Linked DNA regions of Canis lupus familiaris. The protein of the gene in region 3 interacts with the protein of the main gene of each other region in a biochemical or structural test. Links are inferred from orthologs where the notes say so. Each region holds a gene or a part of one and is shown on either strand. Other genes may lie near its edges.

Evidence for each region.
Region 1: the proteins of CRYAB (region 3) and CRYBA1 form a complex in vitro, tested with the Homo sapiens proteins (2 studies listed by BioGRID and IntAct, with this or other methods). The link is inferred for Canis lupus familiaris from reciprocal best matches to the Homo sapiens genes CRYAB and CRYBA1.
Region 2: the proteins of CRYAB (region 3) and CS form a complex in vitro, tested with the Homo sapiens proteins (3 studies listed by BioGRID). The link is inferred for Canis lupus familiaris from reciprocal best matches to the Homo sapiens genes CRYAB and CS.

The regions. Positions count from the first base shown.
Region 1 is NC_049230.1:43,345,657-43,352,571, reverse strand, and holds the end of CRYBA1 (beta-crystallin A3), read right to left. Parts: intron 5,845-6,915; coding exon 5,726-5,844; intron 4,230-5,725; coding exon 4,088-4,229; intron 3,376-4,087; coding exon 3,233-3,375; intron 2,595-3,232; coding exon 2,447-2,594; 3' UTR 2,352-2,446; downstream 1-2,351. UniProt on the Homo sapiens protein: Crystallins are the dominant structural components of the vertebrate eye lens.
Region 2 is NC_049231.1:960,305-967,869, forward strand, and holds the start of CS (citrate synthase, mitochondrial), read right to left. Parts: upstream 4,018-7,565; 5' UTR 3,840-4,017; coding exon 3,798-3,839; intron 1-3,797. UniProt on the Homo sapiens protein: Key enzyme of the Krebs tricarboxylic acid cycle which catalyzes the synthesis of citrate from acetyl coenzyme A and oxaloacetate.
Region 3 is NC_049226.1:21,213,039-21,220,339, reverse strand, and holds CRYAB (alpha-crystallin B chain), read right to left. Parts: upstream 5,025-7,301; 5' UTR 4,772-5,024; coding exon 4,571-4,771; intron 3,449-4,570; coding exon 3,326-3,448; intron 2,059-3,325; coding exon 1,855-2,058; 3' UTR 1,714-1,854; downstream 1-1,713. Other genes in the region: HSPB2 (heat shock protein beta-2), read left to right, coding at 5,884-5,977, 6,346-6,800. UniProt on the Homo sapiens protein: May contribute to the transparency and refractive index of the lens. Has chaperone-like activity, preventing aggregation of various proteins under a wide range of stress conditions.

The DNA.
Region 1 (6,915 bases), on a different chromosome or scaffold from region 3:
TTTTAAAAGATTGTTTTGTAATCTACTTAGGACTTTTAGAGAAGAGGCTAAATAAGTTTAAGTAGAAGATAATATTAATGGTACTTTCCCCATGCTCCTAGATCTAAAAGAAATATTTCTGATTTGTAAGTTTTTTCCAATGTGTAGAAGAGGGTTACTTCTCTATCATCAAGTGTGCTTTTGATGTATGTTCTGTTGACTTTGAAAACAGCAAAAACCCTTCTTTCTGAAAGTGACAGTCAAAAACTAAATCTAGTAGTCAAGATTGCAAAGGTAGCCCATCATGCCTGGCCTAAAAAGTAAAAAATGCAGGAGAGTAGTAGCGTCATCTTAAGTTGGCCATGGCTACTTCTCCGCGTCTGTCAGTAGTTCACTTATGTTCAGTGTTAGAACAAACATTGAAGGAGCAAAGTAATTTCTGTGTCTTGTGTGCATCAACACTTAGGAGCTGAGTTACCTCTTCTCGATCTGCGGGAAAGGATAATTGGACTATAATTATGTTGGAGGATATTTTTCTTTCCCTCTCCCAACTATTTTTTTTCAGTGTTTTTTTTTTGCCCAGTCAAAAAGATAGGCCTTTTCTAGATAAAAGAACAGTGGCCAGAAATTTACCCTTTTGCTAATTGCTTAGGTATTTGCCATAGCTGTTTCTGATGTCATGGATTCTGAGGAAGTGTCAGTTACATGATGATCTTCCTTTATTGATGTCTTACTCCATGTTCAGTGTTTTAAAAATATAAATTACAAACACTCAACATCCATACCCAGATTTACTTATTTTATCAGAAAAAAAACCTTGAGAAATTTGTAGATCAAATTAAGAGACAATAAGTGTACATTGTTGAATAAAAAATTTTAAAGTTTCTGAGGTGTTTGTGTTATCTTTTGTGTGCTTTTAAAAGTTATATACTGAAAACTAAGATTGTGGGATGTACAAATTAAGTCTTAAGTGTACCATGGTCATATGTCATTGATTTAAAGCAAATCATACAGATGCTTAGAATTGGCATATTTATTTTAAAATGACCTGTGAGAACAGCTATCCTATTCCTTAATGCCCATTGATCCTTAATGTTCTTCAATTGGAATAGGAAGCCAAAATTAAACTAAGCAGTTAAGCAACTAGATCTAAGTTGCCAAGATTCTGAATTTGTGACTTTATGTTGAAATACATGGCAATGCATATTTGAGAAACTTCCTAAGTTTGTATAGCATTGATTTGTCACAAGTTGAAAAAAATCGGTGCTAACATCAACATGTTAGAGTAGGGAATGTGGGGAAGAGATGTAAAAACATTTACCATAAGTGTGTTTGTTTGTCACTATATAGACTGATACATTTCATATGCTTTTATGTTCTTTGAGTTAAGGAAGAATTGTCAGTTGGCCTGCTGAGTGACTTGCAAGGATACAAAGGGAATTGGGGGTTTTATTGAAGCTTGTCTTTAAAAATTCTCAGCCCCATAGGTGTGATTTATAAAGTATGGTGGGGGACACCTGGGTGGCTCAGTGGTTAAGCGTCTGCCTTCAGCTCAGGGCATGATCCTGAAGTTCCAGGATCGAGTCCCACATTGGGCTCCCTGCGTGGAGCCTACTTCTCCCTCTGCCTATGTCTCTGCCTCTCTCTGTCTCTCATGAATAAATAAATAAAAATCTTAAAAAAAAATGGGATGCCTGGGTGCCTCAGGTCTTGATCTCACAGTCCTGAGTTCTAGCTCCATGTTGGACTCCATGCTGGGTTTGGAGCCTACTTAAAAGGGCACCTGAGTGGTACAGTTAAGCATCCAACTGTTTTTGAAGATTGTGATCTCAGGGTCTTGATCTCAGAGTTGTGAGATAGAGCCGTGTGCCGGACAGTCCACTGATCATGGAATCTACCTAAGTTTCTCTCTCCTGCCCTCCCCCACCCCCCTGCACTTACACTCTTTCAAATCTTAAAAAAAAAAAAATGGGCATGTGGGTGGTTCAGTCGGTTAGGCATTGCCTTCAGCTCAGGTCATGCTCTCTGGGTAGTGAGATTGAGTCCTGCGTTGGGCCCCCTGCTCAGCAGGAAGCCTGCTTTTCCTTCTCTCTCTGCCCCTCCCCCCCTTCATGCTTTGCTCTCTTTCAAATAAATGAAATCTTTAAAAATCAGTAAAACTGGGGTGCCTGGGTGGCTTAGTGGTTGAGCATCTGCCTTTGGCTCAGGTCATGATCCCGGGGTCCTGGGACTGAGTCCTGCATCAAATTCTCTGCATGGAGCCTACTTCTCCCTCTGCTTTTGTCTCTGCGTCTCTCTCTCTGTTTCTCATGAATAAAAAGTAAAACTAAAAGCGTGGTAGTTCATTCAGTCTACACAGTTGTGTGTGTGTTTTTTTTTTTTTTAATGACATTTATTGTGGATTTCAGCAGCTAACATAAAACTAGATTGCTTAGCAAGGTTCCTCTTACTTGGAGCTTTCAATCCACTACTGTTGAATACGGCGAATTGATTGAATCTGGGAAGTCTGGGCATGAGAACCCCACTCTCTCCAGTGTTTATAGTCTCCTCCATGATGGTCACATTCCAAGATATATTGATACCCGCGATATCCAGGATACTGGTAGCAGACCCAGCTAGAAAATCCAAAGCACATTAGATTATTAAAACTAGTTAGGAAAGGGGTCAGTACCCTACAACCTGAGTCTCTTTCATCAACACAATTGGTATGGAATGCTTTTACGTTTAGAAAACAACAGCCATTCTAAATGTGCCAAGCACCATTTGTGAACATAATATGGCTATAGCTAGTTGAAAATTAACTTTTGATCATGAAAAAAAATGTAAAAGGGCGCCTGGGTGGCCCAGTAAGTTAAGCATCTGACTCTTGATTTTGGCTCAAGTCATGATCTCAGGGTTGTGAGATGGAGCTCCGCACTCAGTGGGAAATCTTCTCTCCCTCTCCCTTTGCAGCTGCCCCTATTTATGCATTCTCTTGCTCTCAATAAATCTTAAAAAAATAAAAAATTTTTAAAAAGAGTAGTCAACAAATAATTACATAGAGAAATATTTAAGAGGGGGAAACACTGACCTTAAGTAGAAGTTGGTACCAACAACTTAAAATTTGAAAATTACTAATAACTAGAATGTGTCAGCCATACCAATATACTAATGTATGAAATCTCATAAACTATAACCATTGATGTATTAATACAAGGTTTACATTTGCAAGAGTTACTTTGAAATGTGCCCCATCCCTGTCTTTTGTACTTACGCCCCACATTGTATCTTCATGGAACCAACTTCATTGTTGAACCAACCCATGGCTTGCAAGGAGGGATAGTCATCACAGATCTCCCATTGGCGTCCAATGAAGTTTTCCTTCTCAAAGATGGTAATCTTTGACTCCTTATGATTCTGTAATGCAAAAAAATTTTAAATCATTTAGTACCCGTGTTGATGGCTGTCATCTTAATTCTTTAATTTCTACATTTTTCAAATTAAAAAAGCTTTTGGTTTACATTTTAAGAATGTTTCAATATGGAGATATGGAGATAAAAATACTCAATCCTGTCCAATCAAATTTAATACCGTAACATTTAAAATGTACAAATAATTGATATAATACTTTGGGGCAACAAAAATCATAGAAAATATAATAAGAGCAGGAAGAAACACACAGCCAACCAAGGGAGTTAATATTCACTTATGTGAGAAAAGATCACAGAAATTAATAGAAAAAGTAAGGCTGTGTGTGTATGTGTGTGTACAGTGCTGGAAATAACCTAAAGTCTGGTAGGGGATATGAATACTACGCAAACATTAAGGCAGAGACTAACCTGTATGTAGTACAAAAACGCAAACCTAGCTCTCACTAGTTCTCCTACTGCACTGAAGATCTGCCCTCGTAAGTATACACTTCTGCCAATCTTTTAGCTTAATGAAAATACCTTCTAGTAGGGAAAAAATCAAAGGGCAAATTTGGAAACAGAGGGACCAATGTTCTCTCTTTTATCCTTCCTGCTGCATTTCAACGTAACTGATGAGAAGTAGCACTAAATGTCCATCCACACGCACCCTCTCTTGCACCATCCCCCCACGTGCACAGAAGTGAAAAATTCAGACTCACGGCTGAACAGATGGGGCGGAAGGACATGAGGCGCTCAATGTGGTAGGCGTTACTCCCACTCCAGGCGTCCCAGCGAGGGTACTCTCCTCTCTCCAAGATGAACTGTTGCCCACAGAAGCTGGTATGCTCATAACCAATCCAGCTGCCAGAGACAAGCAGTGGGGTTTGTTGGTGGTGTTCAGAGCCTACATGGCCTCAGGGAGAGGCACCTTTTTTTTTTTAAGATTTTATTTATTCATGAGAGACAGAGAAAGGCAGAGACATAGGCAGGGGAGAAGCCGGCTTATCAAGCCAATTCCAAGAGAGCCATGCAAAGTGATACATTTGTCACAAGAGGCGGGGAACGAGCTGGCAGCTACCTGAAGCAGGTTTGTGAATGTAATGTTTGTTTGGGGATTATCCACTGAAAGGGTCTGCTTCACTGACCTGAGTAATGCGTATGAACAAAGTCAGTCTGAAATTAGATTTCCTTTCTCTCCAAGTCACCTTATTCTCTACTTGGAGCTCTAGGTTCAGGATCTAGTGACTGACTATTGCTTTGGCTCCAGCCAAACCTACTGGCTTCTCCCTAAGGAAGCAAAGGGATGGACAGGCAGCTGATGGATTACTAGTCTCTTGTTTCCTGATAACTTTGTGGGTTCTAGCTCCTGCTGTCACACACCTGTTCCTTATTTATTTATTTATTTTAAAGATTTTATTTATTCATGAGAGACTCAGAGAGAGAGGCAGAGACACAGGCAGAGGGAGAAGCAGGCTCCATGCAGGGAGCCCGATGCAGGACTAGATTCTGGGACTCCAGGATCACACCCTGAGCCGAAGGCAGACACTTAATAGCTGAACTACCCAGGCATCCCTGTTCCTTATTTATTAAAACACCTCAGGTCCACTTTTCACAACCAAGTCTCTGCTACCAGTGACATCTTAAAGTATTTTACTCCCTTTAAATGGTTAACTCAGTTTAGTGGCCCACAACTTGTGGAAGCCGGAAGCCTCTCTGTGTGCTATGCCAGCTTCACTTAGGCTAAGGGAGAGACCTTTCCTTGGTGGTAAAGGCTTCAACTATCCTGCCAAAGAGTCAGGAAACAAACCACGAGTCTAATTCGTCCAAGAAATTAATCATCAACAAGAAACTCCTGAATGACTAACTGGGACCTGATACAGCTCTCACGTCCTAGAGTTGAGTTCCTTTTTACACAGAGAAACTAGCTGGTAGTGCCTTTGCAGGAGGGAGTTAGCTGGAAAGAGGTTGCTGCTTGCGGGTTTCCTCTATTTTTCTGTCGGCAAGACAAACTAAAGGGTCCTGTGCCTCTTCTGAGAGAATCCTATGTAGCAGCCTATGAGCTCTAGGGGCACAGATCTGATTCCTGTCACTGCCCCACCCCATGGTCTACATTTCCTTAATGCTCCCCTCCTCAAATCTATTACCAATCCACTAGAATCTTCAGTTCCTTCTAGCTTTGAGTTACTAAATTACACATATAGTGATTTCCTTTGAGACTACCTCCATATGGACGCCTTTCTCCCAGAAATGATTAGAATCTGGGGGAACATCTTTTTTCCCTATCCCCACCTTTATGGCCCCATGTCTCCAGAGACCACAAATATGGGTCCCAAGGTTCTGCTGAGGTCCATACTCACGCGCCGCATTCCACCTTGAGAGACCGGACATTATCAAAACTGCGCTCAGAGACATTTGGGCAGGAGCTGGTGAACTCCATCCTCTTGCCCTGGAAATTCTCCTGATCATAGATGGTTATCTGAATGGAATTGAATGGGAAAACAGAGTTTGAATGTGGTACTTCAGGAAGAGCAGAGGCCCAGGTCAAGAGCTTAACTTTGGTCTGTAGCCCAGGATGTCTGGTAAGGTCTCTTCCAGTATAGACAGGATAGGAAGGAGTTTGGATTATACCACTGGTTGGTGGTGTTTACATGTCCAGGCAAGGGATGAAGTGTAAGGATTGGTTTATGATAGGAATTGTTTGCCAAGGACAATGCCTGGTCTAGTGGACAGGCCAAGGACTCATAAACTCTTATTCCACCTTACTTTCTGCATAAATGTGGCCCAGAAGTAAGGACTCTGAGACTCCCAGAACTTCCTGTGGGTTATTTATTATCTTCTCCAGTCATATTCAATACAGAAATGCAAGGTGTAAATGGAGATTTGTGATAAACCCATTTCATACCTTGAACTAGAATTTGGCTCTTAAACCTGGCTAGAGGACAAACTCCCAAAGCTGTGAGCTGTCCTTAGAGTTAACCCAGTGAAAAGGGTAGGGGTGTTGAGGAAAATAGTGAAAAGCTAAGGATCAGCCACTTCAGGCAATGGTTACAATCAACCTCAGGCTGAGAGTGAGAAGACCTTGTTTGGGATCTGGTAGCAAATCTCTTTTTATTTCTGGGACTCCAGAAATGCTCCACTCTCCATGGCAGCATCATCCACTCCGGACTGCTCTATTTTTTTTTAATTCTTTTTAAAAATTATTTTATTTTTAAGTGATCTCTACACTCAACATGGGGCTCCAACCCACAACCCCAAGATCACGAGCTGCATGCTCCACCTAGTGAGCCAGCCAGGTGCCCCTGGGCTGCTCTGTTTTAAGATTATTTTAGTAGTGTGGAGGAGAGGTGACCTAGAAAACTAGGTGTCATCTTCCACCATCATGGGCTTCCAGGGTCATCCTTCTGTCCAAATGGGGCATCCTGAAAGATCCTTCCTGAGACAGCATATGGATGTTGGGTAGACCCTCGCCCTAAAACTGGTATATTACTTGCCAGTCATTCCCCCATGCAAAGCACAGCCCTGGGGGCTGCCCTATGGCAATATCTCA
Region 2 (7,565 bases), on a different chromosome or scaffold from region 3:
TTGGCCCAGGGCGCGATCCTGGAGACCCAGGATCGAGTCCCACATCGGGCTCCCGGTGCATGGAGCCTGCTTCTCCCTCTGCCTGTGTCTCTGCCTCTCTCTCTCTGTGACTATCATAAATAAATAAAAATTAAAAAAAATTTTTTAAGATTTTAATTTATTCATGAGAGACACAGAGAGAGAGAGAGAGAGAGAGAGGCAGAGACACAGGCAGAGGGAGAAGTAGGCTCCCTGCAGGGATCCCAGATCTCCAGGATCAGGCCCTGAGCTGAAGGCCGTGCTAAACTGCTGAGCCACCTGGGCGGCCCTTCACTACTGTTTTAAATTTCATGCCCTACTCAACTCTATCACATAGAGCACTGAAGGGCAAAAAGAATTACTATGTAGCTTTAGAGAGATCCACCACATCTGGCTTCCTGCCTTCTGCCCACTTGGATTCTAAAGAAACAAGAATGCCAGCCTTCACCTTTCTAATGATCTACTTTAGCAGTGCTTCCCCACACCCATGCATTCATCTGTTAACAATCTAAAGGCCACTGGGGGGCACGTACCTGGGTGGCTCAGTGGTTGAACATCTACCTTTGGCTTAGGTAGTGATCCCCGGATGAGTCCCATTATCCCTCCCCTATCTCTGCCTCTCTCATGAATAAATATAAATAAAATCTTAAAAAAGGCCACTAGGATAGACAAATGCAGTTATCCCACCAGTAGCACATGAGGAGGATTTACTCTCCATTTTTCATCTTCAGCCCACCTAGCAAGCACCAAGGAACTGACATCCCTTTGAGCAGGCTGATAATCAAAGTGAAGACACATAGATTTGGGTGCTTGCCTTTAAAAGTTCTAGGCTGTACAGAGTGCCTGGCTGGCTCAGTTGAAAGAGCATGTGACTCTTAATCTTGAGGTCGTGGGTTCAAGCCCCATGTTGGGTGTAGAGATTACTTAAATAAATAAACTTAAAACATCTTTAAAAAAGATTTATTTATATTTATTTATTTATTTTTATGATAGACACAGAGAGAGAGAGAGGCAGAGACACAGGAAAAGGGAGAAGCAGGCTCCCTCCATGCCGGGAGCCTGATGCGGGACTCGATCCCCGGACTCCAGGATTGTACCCTGGCGCCAAACCGCTGAGCCACCCGGGGATTCCCAACTTAAAACATTAAAAAAATAAAATAAAAGTTCTGAACTGAGAGCCTAGCTAATATTTCACAGAAAAAACTTAACTTTTGTTGAACCCGATTTCTAACTAGGATTAATACAAAACACGTTCAGTGATGTAGATCTACTGTAAAGGAATTATAAGTATTAAATACATGTCTTGAAAAAGTCTAGAGGGACGCCTGGGTGGTTCAGCAGTTGAATATCTGCTTTTGGCTCAGGGTGTGATCCCGGGGTCCCGGGATCGAGTCCTGCATCAGGCTTCGTGCATGGAGCTTGCTTCTCCCTCTGCCTGTCTCTGCCTCTCTCTCTCTGTCTCTCATGAAGAAATAAATAAACTCTTTAAAAAAAAAAAAGTGTAGAAATACTTAACACTTTTGGCTTGATTTTCTCAAAGTCATTGAACATCTTGGCTTAGAGGAGCAGTGCTCAATGGTACAAGAAATAATTATGATTTGTTAAGTCACAATAGTGTTAAAAGAGAGAACAGAAATAAATCAGTGGCCATACTCTAACTCCCGACCCAAATCCAAACTCAGATCACATGTGAAAAAATAATACATCACAAAGATAAGGCATCCACAGCTAATACTAAGACCACCGTTTAGTAGAAATTCATTTGGGTAAACAAGAAGTCGAATAATCTGAACTAGTATCTCTTTCCAACTCAGGTGTTCATTAAATTACCTGAAAGTGGATAGAGTGGAACAATGTAACAATGACTGGCATTTGTGTCACCTAGCAAGGTTAAAAAAATCTCTTCTCAGAAAAGTGAAACTACATCTGACCTTGAGAATCAAAGTGGTAGGGGTCAGTGTTCCCAGATCAGGAAATGAATTCTCTTTGCTTTCCAAAGCCTACCTTAGCAGCAAAAGTAAAATCAGTTAAGCTTTAGGCTGATCTGAATATTCAAGGCAGGTGCTAGCAATGCTACAAAGTGAACAGGCTTCCTTCTTGCTATCTTGGTTATTCTACTGAGATCTCAGGAAATTTCCACTGGAGTTTTTTGGGCTTTGCTAGTTTTTAAGGATCAAAAGCTTTCAAATGGCTTCCAATTTACAGGTTTCTGGGGTCCTCAGGATCATTTCTACCAGTAAAGTCAACAAAACAAAACAATACTGATTCTACAATTATGTAGCACTATCATCCCAAAAGCTTCCTGGGCTTCCCCAGAGGCTTAAAAAAACAAAATGAATTCAAAAACTAAATTCTAAAGGCTTTTAAAAATCACTGAAGGATTAAATGATCTGGTCTGGGTTAGGAGCTCTGGAATGAGCTAATTATGGTGTCGTGTCCCCTATTCTGCCAAAACACTATCTAGAACTCGCCTCATTTCCCAAGGGGCCTTCCTTACCCTGTTCCCTGGCAGCAGCAGAAGCAACAGTCAAGTAAGACAAGTGTCTCCCAAGTAAGACAAGTGTCTCCCAAACGATCAGCCTCCACCTGCTGCTGGGCACCCGGAAGAACCTCCATGCTAGATTCTACAGGCTTCACCTCATCTGCCAGCCATGCAAGCTAACACACAGCACGCCAATGCCATCCTAAGACTTTCCTTTCCTCCAGGTGCTGGCAGCTTTAATCTGCAGGAGAAAGTGTAAGTTCTCTGCAGAAGTCAAGGTCACTTGTGGGACTGTCCCTGCCTGGATTAAAGGGCTGGGACTCTCTCCTCAAAACAGCAGTTTCTCTATTTAAAGGGTTAAGTGACCCAGGCACCAAAGCCCTGGCCATTTGAAATTGAAAGCACCATTACCTGCAACAAGATTCCTATGATCCAAAGGCAAGAACGAACATTCAAGTAAATGAGGGCCTCAAAGAACGAGAGGGCTCTCTCCTGGGTAGACTTCAAAGCAATAGCTAAGCCTGAGTGAGCAAGGAGTAGGACCGGTCATGTGACTTTGGCAGCACTATCTCCAGTCCAGTATCTTCACTTTCTGGCCTGCCGTTTGAAGGAAAAATCTTTCTGGTTCTTTCTGCAATCATTATGTGATAATCATGCAGAAGGTCTTACAGAAGGGCTCCACCCCACCCAGGCTCCTCCTATACGAAGAGTAAGTGCAAGAGTCCCAAGGACAAAGAGGACCCAGTACCACTCTACCAGCAGAACTGCTAAGGCTCGGTCACTAAAAGCTTCAAAAATTGGGTTGGAGAAACAGTAAGAAGCAGTTTGGGAGCCGACAAGGCCCTCTCCGCAAAGCAGAAGCCGAAGCCGGCCACGGCGCAGCTCACCAGGGGCAGTGCACGGAGCCGGCCGCCGGCCGCCTCTCCTACCCCCGCACCCCTCTCCCCAACGGGCCCTTCCCCTAAGTCCGGAGGCACACGACACCGAGGCTCTCCAGCGGCAGCTCCTTTCCGGGGCTCCCCCGTCCTGGCCGAGCCGGCTGACAGCAGCGTCCGGGCTCTCCGCCCGCCCAAGACCGCAGGCCGGAGCGGGCAGCGCCCTCTTCACCCCCGGGGGCAGGAGGCCAGCGGAGCACATGGCCTGGGAGCGCCACCGAGGGCTGGCGGCCAGCCAGGCGCCGGGCCCCTTTAAGGCGCGCAGGGGTGTGAGGTGGAGGGGAGGGGACCCCGGCGCCCGAGGGCCTGCAGTCGCCTCAGCCCCACCCTGGGGCCGCGCGCTCCCTCCCGGAGTTGCTCACCTTGGCTCCGAAGAGCCGGGCGGCCGCAGTGAGTAGAGCCATGACGGGCGAACGCGGGCTTCCGGCGGGGAGGCAGGACCGGGAGAGCTGCGGCCGGGGGAGCCGCCGCCGCTGCACCGAGGGCCGCGCCGACGGGCCGACAAGGTTGAAAGGAGGCGGCTGAGGGAAAGGGGAGACGAGCCGGCGGCGGCGCCCAGCCCGGGGTCCTCGGCGAGGCCCCGCCCCCCGCCCCGACTCGCTCCCGCCCCTCCCAGGGGACTCGCCTCGGGCCCGGCCATTGGCCCGGCGTCCGCGGGGGCGGGACCTGAGCCGCTGACAGCGGGCGCGGCGGGCAGGATTGGACCGCCGGGCTGGGCCGGGAGGGGGCGCGGAGCTGCCTAAGTATGTGCCTGCTAACTCCGTTAACTTCCTCCTCGGCTTCCCTTCTCGCCCTCAGCGGTTCGGGGTTAGCTCTGAGGGGAGTGTGGGAGGAGGGCTCTGACCGAGGACTCCGACCTCAGAGGGCCTCGGAAGCCGGTCCCATCCTGTACCGTCGCGGCCACCGACCACTGCCTGCCCCTCCTACCAGCTGGCGGTCTTTCCTGAGGAATGCCTTTGGTCAGTGACTTAATGGCCTTAGAGGTGACGTCATGTGGACAGGCTATGATGCCAGCGCTGGCTGCCTGGCGATCCTTTGAGGTCAGCCGAGGCCACGGTATATCTTTATAGATAAAGAGACCCCTAATACATGGGGAAGGAAGGCAAAGGCGGGAGGCTGGTATCCAGTGCTGTTTACGGGCCGTCAGCTCTGCGTCCAGTGCGGGGAAGTCGAAGTCTTACAGATGCCCCTTAATATGAAGGCTTCTGAGGCCGCCTACCTGGCTCAGCCGGTGGAGCATACCACTCTTGATATCGGGGTTGTAGGCTGGAGCCCCACCTTGGGTGTAGAGATTACTTAAAAAAAAAAATCTTAAAAAGAAAAATGACAGTTTTCCAGCACAGGCCAGAACCTCTGGGTCTCAGCCACTCTAGTCACATAACCCCATGCAGCCAGTTCACCCCACATCTAGCCAGACATAAGGGCAAAAGTTGCAGACCAGCCCCACATCCAAAATCAGGCATTAAGCACCCTCTCCTTTTGTCACATCACTTCCATGGAGCTTCTGGACCCCTGCTCCTACTTGGCTGTCTTCTGTACACTCTTATCCTATGCTTGCCAGGGATCATTAAATGAACCACAGTACTAAAGTGATCTTTCATATCACTCTTGACTAACTTCTCTAGGAAGACAAGACCTCAGGACCTTTGCACTTCCTAAGAGTATCATTGTCATTGACCTAGGGGCACGGTGAAACTGGCCCAAGGACCAGGGCACCTTATCTACAAACCCCAAGCCCCAAATAAACAGTTCTTTTATCTCTTCACAGAGCAGTAACAAGATTCAGAAGTCTCAGTACCACCTAAACCAGGTTTAGATAGACCTTTTTTTTTTTTTTTAAGATTTTATTTATTCATGAGAGAGAGACACACACACAGAGGGTGAGAGAGAGAGAAAGAGAGAGGCAGACACAAGCAGAGGGAGAAGCAGGCTCCATGCAGGGAGCCTGACATGCGCCTAGACCCCGTGTCTCCAGGATCACACCCCCAGGGCTGAAGGCCGAGCTAAACCGCTGAGCCACCAGGGCTGCCCTTAGATAGACCTCATTTATTTTTATTTATTTTATTTTATTTATTCATGATAGGCACACAGTGAGAGAGAGGTAGAGACATAGGCAGAGGGAGAAGCAGGCTCCATGCACCGGGAGCCCTAGTGAGATTCGATCCCAGGTCCCCAGGATCGCGCACCCTGGGCCAAAGGCAGGCGCCAAACCGCTGCGCCACCCAGGGATCCCGATAGACCTCTTTTATAAAGAACCTGGTTTATAGCTTGAGTGGGAAAGAGAAAGAAAGCCACTATTTCTCTTCCCAAGTTACCTTGTACTTAGTTTCAGACCTACCAACCAATACTCCTCTGATTTAGGGTTCAGATAGGTAGGACTTAGGAAGGAACTTCATAAAGAAAAGCCAGGCAGAGCCCCAAAGGAACATTGACCTCAACTACCTTCTCGGTGACTTCAAAGTTCCACTTATCAATATTTGCTCCCAATTTAGTATCTTACAGATATTTCCTCCTAACCCTAGAATAGTCTGACCTGGTTTCTGCTCTCTAGTTAATTATCCACAGACACCAACCAGCTGACCAGGGGCCTGAACTCCAGTGCCCGCAAGACAGGAGGCATTTTCAGGATGAGGCTACCAAAGGGATATTAACTATTATTATTAAAATGTTTTTATTTTTTTTAAGTATTTATTTATTCATGAGAGACACACAGAGAGGCAGAGACACAGGCAGAGGGAGAAGCAGGCTCCATGCAAGGAGCCCAATGCGGGACTTGATCCTGGGACTCCAAGATCACAACCTGAGCTGAAGGCAGATGCTCAACTGCTGAGCCACTCAGGCGTCCCCAAAATTTTATTTAAGTAATCTCTGCACCTAATGTGGGACTCAAACTCACAACCATGATATCAAGAATTGCATGCTTTACCTTCTGAACCAGCCAGGTGCCCCCCACTCAAAGAGATAAATCAGAGTGGCCATAAGGGTAACCTACTTTGGAGCTCTAATGATTGGAGGGAAGGTGAGAAACAGCAGTGCTTTTGACACCGTGTCCTGGAGACTAGTGTTATGAAGGCTTTATGGGCTTGTTTTGAAGTTGTTTAGTCTTGACGTCAACTACTATAAAGCCAGTGGGAAAGCCCAGGGATCAGAAGGACTAAATGTTACTTCACAGAAGCTAACTTAGAATCTCTTTCTAAATGTGAATGGGACCTGGGGAAGAGAGAAGAAAGGGAGGACTGCTATGAATAAAGCAACCAAATGAGCATTAGGTCCAAATACAACTAAGTGCCTGAGGAGAGGGGGCAATGGAGAGAAGGCTGACAATTGAGGTCATATTGACCTTGCAAGATCCTCTTTAAAATGAAGAGGCAATGGTGCCCCCTGGTGGCTATGGGTAAGCTGGGGGTGAGGGGAATGCAATCCAAACTTCAACTTAAACTGCCTGTATCAGTAATAGCTAAAATTTATACTTACAGGGATGCCCAGGTGACTCAGCAGTTGAGCATCTGCCTTTGGCTCAGGGCCTTATCCCAGAGTCCTGGGATTGAGTCCCACATCGGGCTCCCCAAATGGAGCCTGCTTCTCCCTTTGCCTGTCTCTGCCTCTCATGAGTAAATAAATAAAATCTTTAAAAAAAAAAATGTATACTTACAATTTTCAGGTACTATATAAATATGGTACACCCATTATCTTAAAATTAATCCTCACAACAAGTCTAAGGGATGTAGGTAATAGTATCTTTACAGAGGAGGAAACCAAGGTTTAAAGTATCCAGCTAAGGATTATAGTTCATAATTGGCCAGAAGCTGTATCTTAACTACTAAGCTGTATTGTTTTTATGGTGATGAATGTGAATTATCAGCTGCAACTCAGGATGGGGACTTCTGAGTCATTGTTAACTGCCTCCTGGGCACATCAGCTCAATGTGTTCTATATTTTTGTGTGTGTGTGTGTGTTCTATATTTTTAAACATTTTATAAAATAAAAACTATAGTCTTACTTATCTGTAAAACCTTTGTACATCCATACCTGAAATAAAGGTATGAGAGACGAACATTTAGCACCTAAAGTGACCAAGGAGTAGGATAGATTTCTTCAATGAATAATCCGTCTGGAGAGATAGCTGAAAG
Region 3 (7,301 bases):
GAATTTCCATGATTAGTTTGGGCTAATCAAGATAGATCACCTGTGCCTGGAGCTTGGTTCACTTTCCTGAAGCACATGGCTAGAATATGGTGATACCTAAATCAATCTATGGAGCTGTTAGCAAGACGAAGGTGGTAAATAGGTTGGTTAGGCAACCACCTGTATCTGTTACACAGCCACAAAAATTAGCTGTTAATTTTAGAGAAATCTGACTTCTGGCTAGATCACAGCATTTCTGGCTGTTAGGAAGTTGTGTTGTAGGAGAAAATATTTTGAACCTGTATAGATTTGCAATTTATATTGTCCTAGCTCCACACTCCTACAGCACGAAAAATTTTGGCAACTATTTCAGGCAGAATATTTGATTTTTATTTTTTTAAGTAGGCTCCATGCCCACCGTGGAGCCCAACATGGAGTTCCAACTCACAACCCTGAGATTAAGACCTGAGCTGCGGTCAAGAATCACATGCTTAACCAAATGAGCCGCCCAAGTGTCCCTCATGTAGAAGATTTTAAAAGCGTAGCCAATCCCCAATCTGTAGGCTTTGTGAAGGCAAGAATCTCACTTTACTTTGTGGTCAGTCCTTGAAATCAGAAATTAGGTAGAAGCTACTACAGAAAAATAGTAGTATTTGTGAACAAATATGCCAGATAACCTATACCAGAGCTATTTTTCACTAGTTGAGTCAGAAGTTTTGTCTGAACCCACAAGTGGGATGGGGGTGTTTTTGTAGAGTAATACATCTTTGTTTAAGCTGAATAATAGAATTACTTATTGATCAATTATTAATAATTCTGAAACTTAATTTTTTTAGGAGGAGGGTTATTGGATGCTTCCCGTCTTCGTTGTTTTTTCTTTTTTTAAATATATATTTTTTAAAGATTGTATTTATTTATTCATGAGAGACACACAGAGAGAGGCAGAGACATAGGCAGAAGCAGGCTCCATGCAGGGAGCCCGACGTGGGACTGGATCCCAGGTCTCCAGGATCACACTCTAGGCTGAAGGCAGGCGCCAAACCGCGGAGCTACCCAGGGATCCCTTTTTAAAAATATTTTAATTTACTTTTTTATTAAGCTGTATATACAATGTGGGGGTCAAACTCAGGGGCCCAAGATTAAGAATTGCATGCTCTACCAACTAAGCCAGCCAGGCACCCCTTCCCAGTCTTAGATCCAAGATATTTGATAAATAATTTGGAGATTACAAATGAAAGGCTTGTTTGGTGATAGTAACTCAAATCCTATTCATTTCTCTTGCGAATTAGCTGAAGGCATTGCTTATCAGTAGGAAAATATCACTTTTGGCATACCACCTCCTGCCTGGCAACAGGATTAACTGCAGAGACTCACTAAGGTCTTTTATGCATATTTATCCAGAGTTCTTTCAGATTTGTTGTTGAAAATGAGTGCCAAAATCAGAGGAGGAGAGAGAGGAACTGATATTCCTTGAACTCTGACAAGGGCTTTTACCTACATTTCCTCCTGGATTTACTCTTTACAAGTGTACAAATCAGCTCCACGTGTTACAAATGTAATACCTAAGGACTAGAAAGGTTGACTTGCTAAATTTATACTATTAGTAAGTAGTAGAGACAGCCATTCTGACTTAATATCCCCAGAGTCCCCTAAATCATAATGTGATTAAATGGATCTGCTGTATTTTTACATTTATTTTTTAAAAATACAGAATATTCAAACACAAGACAGTTATCTGTTGCTGAATAGTATTTTATTAGCTTAATAATTTGGGCCTGCCCTTAGCATTAATAAGCTTCAGCACTAATCACAAGATTTTCATTCACTGGTGGGGAAATTTTCTTGTTTTAAAAAATGCAGTTAGAGAAAGGGCATCTATTTCTTGGGGGCTGCAGTGACTGCAGGCTTTTCTTCACGGGTGATGGGAATGGTGCGCTCAGGGCCTGAGGCCTGCTTCCTTGGTCCATTCACAGTGAGGACCCCATCAGATGACAGGGATGAAGTAATGGCAAGAGGATCCACATCGGCTGGGATCCTGTATTTCCTGTGGAACTCCCGGGAGATGAAACCATGTTCATCCTAATCCAAGAGAAAGAAGAAAGAGAGAGATAAGAATAGGAAATGGCACCACTTGCTGAGAACTCAGACATTCTCCTTCCTCTGACATGTGACCATACACCACTGCAACAAGAAAAAACCAAATGACTGTTCTGTTTGGGGCTAAAAAAAAAGTTGCCTAAGTGGTCACTCCCACCAATGAGAGTCTGAGAAATCTGAAACAGTGAAAACTGCACAGCTCTTCAAACTGAAGCATAGATATCTCTAGGAGTATTTCCCAAAGGTTTATATCAGTGTTGGGCCTACTGAAATATCATTCAGCACTGAAGATCTGAGTCCCTAAAGAAGTCCAGAAATTATCCTGACTCTTCAGGAATGTCCCAGAATGTCCCAGACCAACAGGACCACTGCTAAAACAACGACAACAATAAAACTTCATCCAGGGAGACTATGACCCAAACTTAAATCACATAAACAAAGCTGAAACAGACCAAGGACCTCAAACTATACTGTTTGATGCACAAGTATATGGGTTCTCAATAATCGGTAAGAAGCAGACTCTTTTAAAAACCCTCCCAGAAATTAATGAGAAGCTATTTCATTCTCTAGAATTCTGCTAAAAACTACCTGACCCCAACCTTTATACAGCTCAATCTCAAGGATTTATGCAGACAGGCTATCAATGAACTGATTTCCACATGGGCTTCAGGGTTCTAGCTGCTGAATGCAGCTCTGAAACTTAGACAAACCCAAGTAGTTCAGCATTTTAGATGAGCTAAAGATGAGAGCATTCTGGAACATCCAAAAGAAAGGCTCAAAGTCAAAGGTCTTCAGGATACGCGCAATTCATTTAATTATGTAAAGTAACCTGGTGTCTGACAAGCACTATTCCTAAATCAGTGGTCCTTAACTTTGAATGTTTATTAGAATAACCTAGGGAGCTTTTAGAAATGCTGATGCCTGGGGCCCACTTCTAAAACAATTTGATTTAATTGGTCTGGGATATGTCTAAGCGCTGAGATTTTTCTTTTCCATTCCCCTAATGATTCTAAGGTGGCCAAATACCACTGGCTTAAATGGGAAATAAACATCCCATATATCCCACCTAAGGCAATCATATCAAAACAAACAATAAGACCTCTTCTCTGGCCCAAACAAAAATAGGTTGTCCCGGTCCCAGACCCTCATGGCTTAAGACTGGACAGTTGCCAGGCTCAGAGGCTGACGGTAGAGTCTGGCATGTAGCACACAGTGGATGAATGAGCAGAAGAGAAAACACACTACACACCTGGCGCTCTTCATGTTTGCCATGCACCTCAATCACATCTCCCAACACCTTGACCTTGAGCTCCTCTGGGGAGAAGTGCTTCACATCCAGGTTGACAGAGAATCTGTCCTTCTCCAGACGCATCTAGAAATAGCAAGAGAGGAGAGGGTAGGAGAAAAGATGGTAGGAATGTGGATTGCATCAGTGCAGTCTCTTCGTTCTGCAGACTCGCTTTCTCTCCAGGTAGTTCATCCTTCTGTTTTTGGGTCAAAATCCCTTTTTGAATAAACATGGCTCTCTGGTTCAGGGGAGCCACTGGAGTGGTACCCAAGGCATGCCTCACGGTCATCAGACCCAAATTTCATGTACAGGGACAGGAAGAAAGACAGGCTACCCAGGGGAGCAATCGCAAGGATGGATCTGGACACGGCTCCTGCTGCCTCTCTGACCCCAATGCCTGGCCTTGTCATTTGTCTGTGAGACAAAGGCCCTTTCTTTTTACTCAGGCCCCTGCCAATTTTCCCACCCACTCAATCTGGAATGTTCTGCTGGTCTTGATTGTCCTTCCAAAGCCCTTGCTCACTCAGCTCCTGTTTACTCACATTTGAATATTTATTTTTAAACCAAAGCGTTCTCTGTGACAGCTCTGTCAAGCTTATCTGTTCACCCCCTTTCTCCCACCCTCTTAGGACAAGCGGGGGTCCCAAGACTGGACTTATGCCCTGTTCTTATCAGGTTTGGACACAGGTCAGTGCCCTGTCACAGTGCTGAGAAACCTGGAAAATCTTAGAGGAAGGAATAGAAAGAAAGTAAACAGTGTTTGCTGTCTTCAGCTCCATTCAGTGGAAGTGAAAAGCTCAGAATGAGGCAGGACTGTTTCCTGACTCTGAAACTTGAGATGCTAACATTTGTCAGGAGTATGAGATATCAGAAGAGGCGAGCAAAGGAGTCTGAAGGCAGCTCTTTCCCTGTAGATCTTTCTGAACCAAACCAGAAAGGGGCATCCTACTTAGAAGTTAGGAGATAGAGGGCGATCTTCACAGCCCGTGGAGAAAAGGCAGTAAGTAGGACACAGTGGAGCATCAAATACAAACAGGTAAACTGGTGGAAAGAACCAGTAGCCTAGTGTTTCTTAAACCCTGGTGGACGTACAAGTGCCTAAGATGCTTAGACATAGCCATATTCAGGCAGAGAGAAAAAGGAGAGCAGGTGGATATGTTTCCAGGAGGTTCTAGGAAGAACTCTCCTCTCCTGGCAGAAACTTACCTCTGAGAGCCCGGTGTCAATCCAGCTGGGTGCCCGCAGGAATGAGGGTGGCCGAAGGTAGAAGGGGCTCAGGGAAGTAGAAGTTGGGAAGAGATCGGACTCCAACAGGTGCTCTCCGAAGAACTGGTCAAAGAGGCGGCTGGGGGAGTGGAAGGGAAAGAAGGGGCGGCGGATCCAGGGGTGGTGGATGGCGATGTCCATGGTGGCTAGGTTGAGTGGAGGGGGTCAGCTGGCTGGTCAGCTCCTTCAGCCGCAGCTACAGCCAGCCCCTTATATACGCAGTCTTGTGAAGCTTCTGGAATGGTGATGTCAGGAGTTTTATTATCCCAGCTCACCACCCGTTCATGGAGACTTGTGATCAGGGATTTGGCAGTGTGACACATACCCAGTACTCACTGAGCTAAGAAAAGAGAAATACAAACACGTCTGAGCTGGCCAGTGACTTGTCCTGGTCCTGTTGCACTAGCTTTCCGTCCACACCCAGTAGTGCCCCCCCACACCCCCTTCTCTGGAGTTGGGAGGGAGTCAGGAATCCCAAGCAGGCGGCTGTTGTGCCCCTCCTCCTCCTCTCCAGCCTAGCGTGCCAGGGGAATTGGGCCAGTGACTATCTTGGGCCTGGGCAGGAACTGGAATCTTCCTAGGCTGGGCCCCAGGGACATTAACTCTTTATGGGTCCCTGGAGGAGAGCAGCCATCACCAGCAAGTCAGCGCCAGGCAGATATCTGTGTGGCGCCCGGGCTTGACCCTGGTTCAGGAGAGGACCCTGACATTCGTCTGGGCAGAAGACCCTTCACCCCACTCCAAAAAAGGGTGGGAAAGTTTCTTGCATCTTTCACCTTACACGGCGGCAGAACGTTAAAACCGGGACAGCTTTGTGCAGTCGGGTGTAGGGTGCCCGGGACTTAGGAGGACAGAGGGAGGAAATGTGGAAAATGTGCCAACGGTGAGGGTGAGGGTCGCAGCTAGGCCGCTGCAGGGCCTCGGGACCGGCCTCCCGCGGCAGCTCGCAGCTCGCAGCTCCAGCTCGCTGCCCAGCCAGGACCCCCCGCTGTCCCCTCGGGCCGCCTGCGACAGCTGCAGGGCGTGCGGGGGGGGGGGGGGGGCGCGGGGGTCCAGGCAGCGCGGGTCACACACTTGTCGCTGGCGCTCAGGGGCCCGGCCCCCGCCCCTCCCCCACCCCGGGCTCCGCACTATTTTGGGTGGTGTAGACCCCGCCCCCACCTCGGACCGAGCCCTGGCCGGCCCCGCAGCTGGAGGGGTCGCTGCTCTGTTGGGGCTGCAGCTCGGAGCAGAGCCGCCGACGCCTCGCAGCCATGTCGGGCCGCTCGGTGCCCCACGCCCACCCGGCCACCACCGAGTACGAATTCGCCAACCCCAGCCGCCTGGGCGAGCAGCGCTTCGGAGAAGGTATGGCACAGACGCCACCCCCGGCCTCCCGCCCCCACCTCCTGAGATTCCGGGCTGACCTCCCGACAGTGCTGGCCTCCACCCCACTCCGGGCTTAACTGAACTCCTGGGGCGAGCCGTCTCCCACCCGGACCCCCCCCGCCCCCGCCCCCGCCAAGCAGGGCTCGGTCCCCTTCCCGCTGACCTCGGGGCAGATGCCCGGCCCTGACCCCCTGGCTGGGCCCGTGCTCCCCTCTGTCCCGCGGTCCCCGCCCGGCCTGCCCTCTGCACCCCCATCTCGGCCCCTGGCCCCCTCCTGCCCCCCCCCCCCGCCCTCCCTGGCCCTCACCCCTCGTCCCCGGCTCATCCTGCCTCATCCTGCCCCTCAGGCCTCCTGCCCGAAGAGATCCTGACCCCCACCCTCTACCATGGCTACTATGTCCGGCCCCGGGCCGCCCGCGCCGCCGAGGGTAGCAGGGCAGGGGCGTCTGAGCTTCGGCTCAGCGACGGCAAGTTCCAGGCGTTTCTGGACGTGAGCCACTTTACGCCCGACGAGGTGACCGTAAGGACTGTGGACAACCTGCTGGAGGTGTCTGCCCGGCACCCCCAGCGCCTGGACCGCCACGGCTTCGTGTCCCGGGAGTTCTGCCGCACCTACGTCTTGCCCGCCGATGTGGACCCCTGGCGGGTCCGGGCGGCTCTCTCCCACGATGGCATCCTTAACCTGGAGGCACCTCGGGGTGGCCGACATTTGGACACGGAGGTCAATGAGGTCTATATCTCCCTGCTCCCTGCACCTCCCGATCCAGACGAAGAGGAGGAGGCAACCAGGGTTGAGCCCTGAGTGTCACTGAGCCAGCACCCAGCGAACCCCTTTCTACCCCCCGCGGTGGTATGAGCAGCTGCCCACCGCCCCAGAGGTAGCCGCATCCTTGGGGGGAGGGGGAGAGTGCATGGCCCACAATGTATGGTTTGGTCCCTTGAGACATGTCATAGCCTTTGGTTTAGTTCTGGGTGGAGCTGAATAAACCCAAATCTCAGGGCCTTGTTTGTGCTGCTCCCTGTTCTGTGGCCTGGACGATGGGATGGGCAGGGAGGGAAGAGGCCATAGCCAGCGAGACAAAAGCTCCTCCGTTAGATGTGCCCCACGTCACAGCACCCTGAGCTCACACTTGGATGCTGAGATCATACCCGGAAGCTGACACTGGCTCCAGATCAAATTCCTAGCTGTAATTTTCTCACAATGCAACAAAAGAGAGAGTGATCCTGGGAGGGGAAAGGGATATGCCATCCAAACAGCCCAGAGGGCACTGTCTGAGCTGGTGATTAGAGACACAAAAACAAG